Linked DNA regions of Saccharomyces cerevisiae S288C. Changing the gene in region 1 together with any one later gene gives a genetic interaction. Each region holds a gene or a part of one and is shown in the gene's direction. Other genes may lie near its edges. The genes, in order: RGM1, CBP4 and ERV15.

Region 1 (3,093 bases):
TGGTTGTTCCATCCGTTGTGGAAACAAGAAAGTAATAGAGCACATGCGCCTCCCTCCCGCCAGCCCCCCAATTCCTATTATGTGTAATCAAACAATTTCTATTAAAACCGAAAACCTAAAAATTGTAACGTCTTTTCTCTTTCCTACTATACCCTCCTCATACCTGCCTTTTTAACAATTAGTATTATAATTTTTTTTTTTCACAAAAAGACAATACCGACTATCTAATAAATAATTTTAATACGTATGTAATTTCGTTAAGAACAAGAATTTTTAAGTAAAAAATCTTACTTTTAAGAAAAACTGTCGCCCTTAATATTAGTCCCAATTTTGTAACGAAAAATAAAATACAAATCGGGGTGGAAAAAGGGAAATTTTACAACATTATTATTCCAAAAACTAGTTTTCAAAAAGTAAATCGTGGGGGTATGAACAACAATTGTTGTAGTCGCAACTACGGTAATTGGTCCTAAAAAATTATTCTCCGGGAAAAAAAGAAGAAACAAAGAGATCCCGAAACATAAGTCCCGTGATTCTTTTTGCCCCCCGCTTTCTTTCGCCAAGAGAAGAGCAATTTATTGAAAGGCTTTTCTTGATGTTTTTGGGTTGTGAAAGCGTTAATAGCGCCAAGTTAGAATAGTAAATATCACAACTACAATATCTACACTTCTCACTTGCGCATTAACCTGCACACGTACTAGACTTTATCTGTCTTGATTGTTACTTCTAGACCAATCAACATTGAAGCGCTCGGCAAATGCTTGACAAGAAAAAAAACTAATTTTCCCTTCGCCTTTTATAGTGCCCATCGGATAGGATATTCCATCTTTGTCTTGCGCCCACTTCGTTGTCGTTACCCGCACGTTGTGTTTTTTGAGGGCTTGAGCAAATTCTTACAGTTAAGGTACAATAGTTGTCTCGAAGAGCAGTACATCAACGGCCTGACGACCTACAGTAGCACTTTCCTTTAAGTGTATATAAACTTTCCTTTTCGGTAAGGGATGCAGGAGAAAGGGCGAGTTTTGTTTATATGCGATCCTTTATGGTAACCTTTGCGGTTAATTCAGCATTATGGTTGCTGATGCACACTTAACGAGGGGAAGAAATATTATGTTACATGCATGAAACGCACTCGGTTTTCTCATGGTCTTTCTTTTTTCGGGATTTCTTTTAATAATATCTTTAAAGTATTACTGGTAGTCGGTCTTTCCCCACACAAAAAAAATTAAAAAAAAAAAAAAAAAAAAGAAACTTTCCGGCGCTCCTTCAGGAGTCTCGTAACTGATGCTTTTTCTCTTCCTAATATTAAGATAAAAAAAAAATTAAACACCGGTAGCAACTTCTCGAGCCATAGGGTCCTGCACACCCTGCCATGTTACCGCACGGACCATTAAGTTACGTGGATGCCGGACTCTCAAGCCATGAAAAGTTTATCTTTATTTAAGTAGAGTTTTTCCTTCTTCTCAAATTTCTGAGAATTTTTATCTTCGATCATTCCCTCTTTTTTTCTTTTTTTCTTTTTTTCTTTTTTTCTTTTTTTTTTCCCTTCTCTTACTTTCTTATTTTTTTTTTTCATTCCTCAGCGGATCCCTTCAATCGTTTATAACATTATTTTCCTTCTCTTTTCTTTCATTGTATCTTCTTGATTTCAACTATTGTTTGTGTGTATATGAACAGACGCCTCCTTCTCTTTCTTTCGTGTATTCTTGATTCAATTGCGACTTCATAGCACTATTCCTCCCCACTCACGTCTATAGTCCAGGACAATTAGCATGACACTGGTTAAACATGAGAGGAAAACAACCGAAAAGGAACAAAGACAACGCTTCTGTCAAGAGAAATTATAGATGCGTGGGATATCCTGATTGTAACATGAGTTTCAATAGGACCGAACATTTGGCTAGACATATCAGGAAACACACAGGGGAGAAACCATTCCAATGCAATATCTGCCTTAAATTCTTCAGTAGAATCGATAACTTAAGACAACATCAATCTTCTGTTCATTCGGACGTTGATTTGATGTCCTTACGTAGACTGCAGCAGTCCGCAAATAGCACTGCGAACGACCCTAACGCAACAAGAATGTTCCCGCAATTACGCCCATATGGAATTGTTGTCCAGCCCGCGCCTGTTCCATACAATCTGCCCATATCAACTCCTGCTAGCCCACAAGACACTATATCTCTTTACGCACCACCATACTTCCCTCATCCTATGCCATCTGCTCCCATACCATTGCCGCATCAGCCTCCTCCACTACCAATATACAGCTATATGCAACCACTCTTCCTGAACCACACTCCCATACAAAACCACAACATTGTAGAGCTCCCTCCAGATAGCAGTGACACTCCAGCATCGCCGTCTAAGGTGCAAAGTTTTGACCAGGCCAAGGACGCTTCACCAAACGCAAAAAAATAAGCTCTACCGCACCCACTCCTCCATTTCACAAGCCGCATCATTGCTGCTATTGTACCCTCTTGGCCATTCGCGTGCGCGTTGATTGCCGTTATTATGCAGATATTTTGATATCGCTTGCCGTTTGGCTCATCTCCGCGCCCTTAAAATATATCCGCTTCTGTTGGGAAATGCCGAGCATAAAAATGCCGAAAATATAAAAAGAACAAGAACAATACCCTTCGAGGGAAACGCTATTTTCCTGTCCACACAACCTTAATTAATTCGCACGTCTGTGCCACCAAGTAGCAACTGGTTCGTATTGCTTTATCTTTCTTGCTTGTTATTACATTGCTGTAAGATAACAAGCAGCGTTTTACTCTACGGATTGTTTATAAGGATTTTGTTCCTCGACCCCTTATATTTACTCACCTTCCCCCTACTCTAATTCTCCTGATTTCAGAACAAAAAAAAAATGACTCCACTTTTGCAGGCGGAAGCAAAAATGAACACAAGCCTCTACCTTACGGAAAGCATCCAACAACATGAATTCAACCTCACCAGCCCTCAGTCATTCTATTCTTCTCCCTCGGTACCCAATAGTAAAAATAACTCGGGCATTTTCAGCTATAACACTGCCAACAACAGTAGGGTGAGTTCTAGTGATGAATTCACTACCCAACAAGACGGCAT
Region 2 (2,835 bases), on another chromosome or scaffold:
GACTTGGTCAAAGATGGTAATGACAAGGTCTTGGAAGACAGCACTATTCACATCAAGGATTACGAAGATGATGAAAGAGAAAGGGGTGTTGCTTTTGTTCATGGTAGATTCTTGAACAACTTGAGAAACATTACTGCTCAAGAGCCAAATGTTACTAGAGTGCAAGGTAACTGTATTGAGATATTGAAGGATGAAAAGAATGAGGTTGTTGGTGCCAAGGTTGACATTGATGGCCGTGGCAAGGTGGAATTCAAAGCCCACTTGACATTTATCTGTGACGGTATCTTTTCACGTTTCAGAAAGGAATTGCACCCAGACCATGTTCCAACTGTCGGTTCTTCGTTTGTCGGTATGTCTTTGTTCAATGCTAAGAATCCTGCTCCTATGCACGGTCACGTTATTCTTGGTAGTGATCATATGCCAATCTTGGTTTACCAAATCAGTCCAGAAGAAACAAGAATCCTTTGTGCTTACAACTCTCCAAAGGTCCCAGCTGATATCAAGAGTTGGATGATTAAGGATGTCCAACCTTTCATTCCAAAGAGTCTACGTCCTTCATTTGATGAAGCCGTCAGCCAAGGTAAATTTAGAGCTATGCCAAACTCCTACTTGCCAGCTAGACAAAACGACGTCACTGGTATGTGTGTTATCGGTGACGCTCTAAATATGAGACATCCATTGACTGGTGGTGGTATGACTGTCGGTTTGCATGATGTTGTCTTGTTGATTAAGAAAATAGGTGACCTAGACTTCAGCGACCGTGAAAAGGTTTTGGATGAATTACTAGACTACCATTTCGAAAGAAAGAGTTACGATTCCGTTATTAACGTTTTGTCAGTGGCTTTGTATTCTTTGTTCGCTGCTGACAGCGATAACTTGAAGGCATTACAAAAAGGTTGTTTCAAATATTTCCAAAGAGGTGGCGATTGTGTCAACAAACCCGTTGAATTTCTGTCTGGTGTCTTGCCAAAGCCTTTGCAATTGACCAGGGTTTTCTTCGCTGTCGCTTTTTACACCATTTACTTGAACATGGAAGAACGTGGTTTCTTGGGATTACCAATGGCTTTATTGGAAGGTATTATGATTTTGATCACAGCTATTAGAGTATTCACCCCATTTTTGTTTGGTGAGTTGATTGGTTAACTACAGCTTATAAGGGAGAGAGGATAGGAACCGTCAAACATTAAGCTGCACCTTTTTTTTTTATTACAGAAGTCGGCTTGGAAGGCTTGTATAGTACATTACGATAAACACATCTTATTTTTATTTATTACTTATTTATTTTACATATTTTCAAAAAAATTCACATATCATTTATTATTAACCGAAGTGTTTTATACTTTTTGTTCTTTCCTTAAAAATGCCTCCAACAGAAAAGGAAAAATGGCTTGATATGCTTCAAAATATGCATTGAGATTCATATTCGGTTATCAATTAACGATATTACTTCCTTAAGTGATATTAAATCAAGCTTGCCGGATTCTGCAGTCAGAATTATACATAATAGTATTTGTGCTCTCGTAAATCCTTTCAGAATTACACCATAGTAGTCTTTGTGAATGTTCTACTTATTAGAATAGATTATTGCTAGTTTATCTCACTTTTCATTCCCCATATCCCTTTTTTTGCTCATCCCCCGGGGTATTTTATCAAGATAAAATTTTATATACATGCAGTGCGCGATAACTCCTAGAGAGGCAGTAATAGCAAAACAAAGACAGTATAAGCATTATTTGGGTATGGAAAGACCATTGTGGGTACGTTGGTTGAAAGTCTATGCAATTGGTGGCGCTATTATTGGAAGCGGGTTTCTGCTTTTCAAGTACACAACGCCAACAGATCAACAGTTAATCAGCCAGCTTTCCCCAGAATTACGTTTACAATATGAGAGGGAGAAAAAACTACGTCAGTCGGAGCAGCAGGCTTTGATGAAAATTGTTAAGGAAACTTCTCAAAGTGACGATCCAATTTGGAAGACGGGCCCCCTTCAATCACCTTGGGAAAGGAACGGTGATAACGTTCAAAGCAGAGATCACTTTGCTAAGGTGAGGGCGGAGGAGGTGCAAAAAGAAGAGTTGGCTAGGATCAGAAATGAACTGTCTCAGCTAAGATCTGAAACGGAGGAGAAAACAAAGGAAATAGTCCAGGATAAGCAGGTTAAAAGCTGGTGGCGCTTCTGGTAGATGGGTCGGGTCACTCAATTAGGAAGGGCAGCTTGAACTTTTGCATCCTAAAACATACGTCTGTGTCATTTATGATATATTATTTATTTGTACACTGTAAATAGGTTTAAAAATATAACTTCATACTTATTTTTAGCTATTTTAGTTCCCATACTTGGGGATGGAAAAAACATTGCGCAAGCCCGGAATCGAACCGGGGGCCCAACGATGGCAACGTTGGATTTTACCACTAAACCACTTGCGCTTGTTATTTATATGAGATTATTGCATCATGCAATGGGGTAATGTCAAGGTTCTTGACAATCCTAATATAAACAGTCTTAGGGAAGTAACCAGTTGTCAAAACGGTTTATCAGCTTGATTCACGGGATCTTACTTATCCTATATATTATATAAAATATGGATCATACTAAATGGTGGAAGCGCGGAATCTTGGATCTAAACCAATTGTTCAGATACTTATACGTTAGAGTAGGTTAGCTAAGGAAGGCAGAGTTTTATTTTCATGTTGCTCATTCTGTTCGTTTTGCTGTAAGGTTGTTTCATATGTGTTTTATGAACGTTTAGGATGATGTATTGTCATACTGAGGTATCCCATTCTGAGATACAACAGAGAAGGTTCCTTTATACTTACTACACTAGGTACCACTAT
Region 3 (2,755 bases), on another chromosome or scaffold:
GAGTAATATCTATTCCCTTTCGTGGATTCCAAGATTCTCGAGGTATATTTCCAGTATATTTTGTATACCTGATATTATAGCCTTTAGCAACAACGAAATCAACATTTATCTCAAATTTCACCTGTTTCTCATTTTTAAGCGCCTAGCCCATCTAATCATCTTAACTATTCATCAGGGAAAATTAATATACATTGTGCTCTTAATGTTTCGAAAAATAATCAAAATCAATAGAAATAGCGTTTTGCTACTAACAAAGCCCTTTGATCCAAAGTTGGCTTCTGAGAACTTAACATTTCAGTAGAACAAGCCTCAAGCTTAAATGAAGAATGGCAAAGTAAATGAGACCTCTCTCTCCATATTTTGCTCAGAGCCTGTTAAGGAAAACAACACCGCACATTAGTGTGAAAAACTTTCCCCGCAAGCTGTTGGAAGATGAATCATTTATTATCTTTTGACTGTTAGCTACATTACTAGCTGTTATCAATCTCTCAGACGATTATATGAATATTGAGATAGTTGTTGGGATTAACTTATTGTTAGAGGCTATAGCATCAGATATACAAAATAAAATAAAAAGTTCTCCTCCAAGATATAGTGTAATCGATATTTCGATGTAATGCCATCATTATTTCTTCTATTTTATGTATTCCTATTGTCCTCTAACATTGTATCTGATAATATTCTAGTAATAGGATTACCATCACTAAATGATAGTTAATTCTCATTCCAAAACCGACTCCTGTCAATATTGAGGACCCATTTATTCCAACGGTCCAAATCCCCAATATTCCCTGCTCGGCAAGAAGTTAGAAAACATATCTTTCGTGCTCTTGCAGGCTTGCTGTATTATCATAACCGAAGGATGACCAACTTTGATCACCCCAGGTGGCAAAAACATAATACATGGTGGTGGTGTCGTTGTAAAAATCATCTTCTTTGGGTGTGTATAGGATCCCATCCAACACACGTGTTAAAATGACATCAGGTATCAATGCTAATCCGTCGTCACTGACAATAAGCTGAGTTGACATCACCTGATGATGTGAAATAGTAGCAAGAGAACTAGGGTAAGGTTCATGCTGGTTGTTTTCCTATGATGACCAACCTTTGGAATTGGGTAATTCTAGGTGTAGCCTGCTAGCCATCAAACGAGACCTTTCAAAATCTTCAGTCATTACATTTTCTTCTGTAAATAGGGAAAAAAGCCTTTAGCTAGGATTGTTCGGCAATAGAAAGCCCTCCAGTTTAAACTTGACATAGAAAATCTTTAAGGTTAAATCAAACATAAGTTATTATCCGATATAGTGTAACGGCTATCACATCACGCTTTCACCGTGGAGACCGGGGTTCGACTCCCCGTATCGGAGTTATTTTTTGTTTCTATACCATTATTTTTCTTGAATGTTGCATTATGATAGTATAGTTTTGCTATACAAACTTCAATTCTCAAAACACAGTACGTCTAGCTCACTACTACTCTCTCTAATTCAAAATCGTTCACTTCTATCGAAAGCTGTGATAATTTGGAAATATTGTCGTGGGCCACGAATGATTTTTCAATTACATTGCTAAATACGAAGACATTAATACCTTTATTCATATAAGCACTTTCATTATCATTTTTTACTAAAGATAAAACTAACTGCAGGCACCAAGAAGTTCGAAGCCAAGAGTAAAGATGTCAGGAACCGGATTATCGCTATTCGTGACGGGTCTTATACTGAATTGTTTGAATTCCATTTGCCAGATATACTTTACTATATTATATGGTGATCTTGAAGCAGACTATATCAACTCAATCGAACTGTGTAAGAGGGTGAATAGGTTGAGTGTACCAGAGGCAATTCTACAAGCTTTCATTTCTGCATTGTTTCTTTTTAACGGGTACTGGTTCGTATTTCTCTTGAATGTCCCTGTTCTAGCATATAACGCAAGTAAAGTCTACAAGAAAACACATCTACTGGACGCCACGGATATTTTCAGAAAATTGGGTAGATGCAAAATTGAATGCTTTTTAAAATTGGGATTTTACCTTCTCATATTCTTTTTCTACTTCTACAGAATGGTCACAGCGTTACTTGAAAATGATGCAAATTTGATAAGCTAATAGCGACAACAGGAAAAAAAAAGAGAGATTTGTGCATATCTATGAAGTATGTCTACCACATAAAAATGACCTTATAACACAACTTCCTTAGTATGGAAGTAATACATATATACATATATACATATATACATACATATATATATATATATATATATATATACATCTTTTGAACCAATTCCCTATAGACTTGGTTGTAATTCGTTAGAAAGATTTTCATTAATTTTATTTATCTTTTTCAGAAGTCCGTTATATGGATCCATCAAGTCTACGAAATGTGCAATATCCAGAATATTTGAGTCATCCCGTATTGAATCGTCCTCGCTATCTTGGCTCATAATTTTGCGATCTCCCTCGTATTTGCCTAGCAAAGTAGAAGTCAAATCATTTAGCCTCTTATTTAGCTTCACTTTGTCGTTCAGTTTGGCTTGTTCATTTTGTAAGTCATGCCAGTCTTTACCGGCTTTCAACTCTTGAATTTCATTTCGTACCGATATTATCTGCTGGTTCAAATCTTCTTTTCGAGCAAGTACCTGCTTCAGTTGGTAGCAGAGCTCATTATTCGACACGTTGATATCTAATATGTCTTTCAAGTCTCTGGTCATTTGGTCTGATATCGTTTGAAAGAGTCGCAGATCTAATTTGTACAAT

Evidence for each region.
Region 2: mutations in RGM1 (region 1) and CBP4 together harm fitness more than expected from each alone (negative genetic interaction), as found in Saccharomyces cerevisiae (2 studies listed by BioGRID).
Region 3: mutations in RGM1 (region 1) and ERV15 together harm fitness more than expected from each alone (negative genetic interaction), as found in Saccharomyces cerevisiae (2 studies listed by BioGRID).

What each region holds. Positions count from the first base shown.
Region 1 is NC_001145.3:623,863-626,955, reverse strand, and holds RGM1 (Rgm1p), read left to right. Parts: upstream 1-1,788; coding exon 1,789-2,424; downstream 2,425-3,093. Other genes in the region: SSO2 (syntaxin), read left to right, coding at 1-35; MIN3 (Min3p), read right to left, coding at 1,059-1,145; YMR181C (uncharacterized protein), read left to right, coding at 2,876-3,093.
Region 2 is NC_001139.9:845,241-848,075, reverse strand, and holds CBP4 (Cbp4p), read left to right. Parts: upstream 1-1,670; coding exon 1,671-2,183; downstream 2,184-2,835. Other genes in the region: ERG1 (squalene monooxygenase), read left to right, coding at 1-1,143; YGR174W-A (uncharacterized protein), read right to left, coding at 1,335-1,421.
Region 3 is NC_001134.8:643,872-646,626, forward strand, and holds ERV15 (Erv15p), read left to right. Parts: upstream 1-1,678; coding exon 1,679-2,107; downstream 2,108-2,755. Other genes in the region: AME1 (Ame1p), read right to left, coding at 2,287-2,755.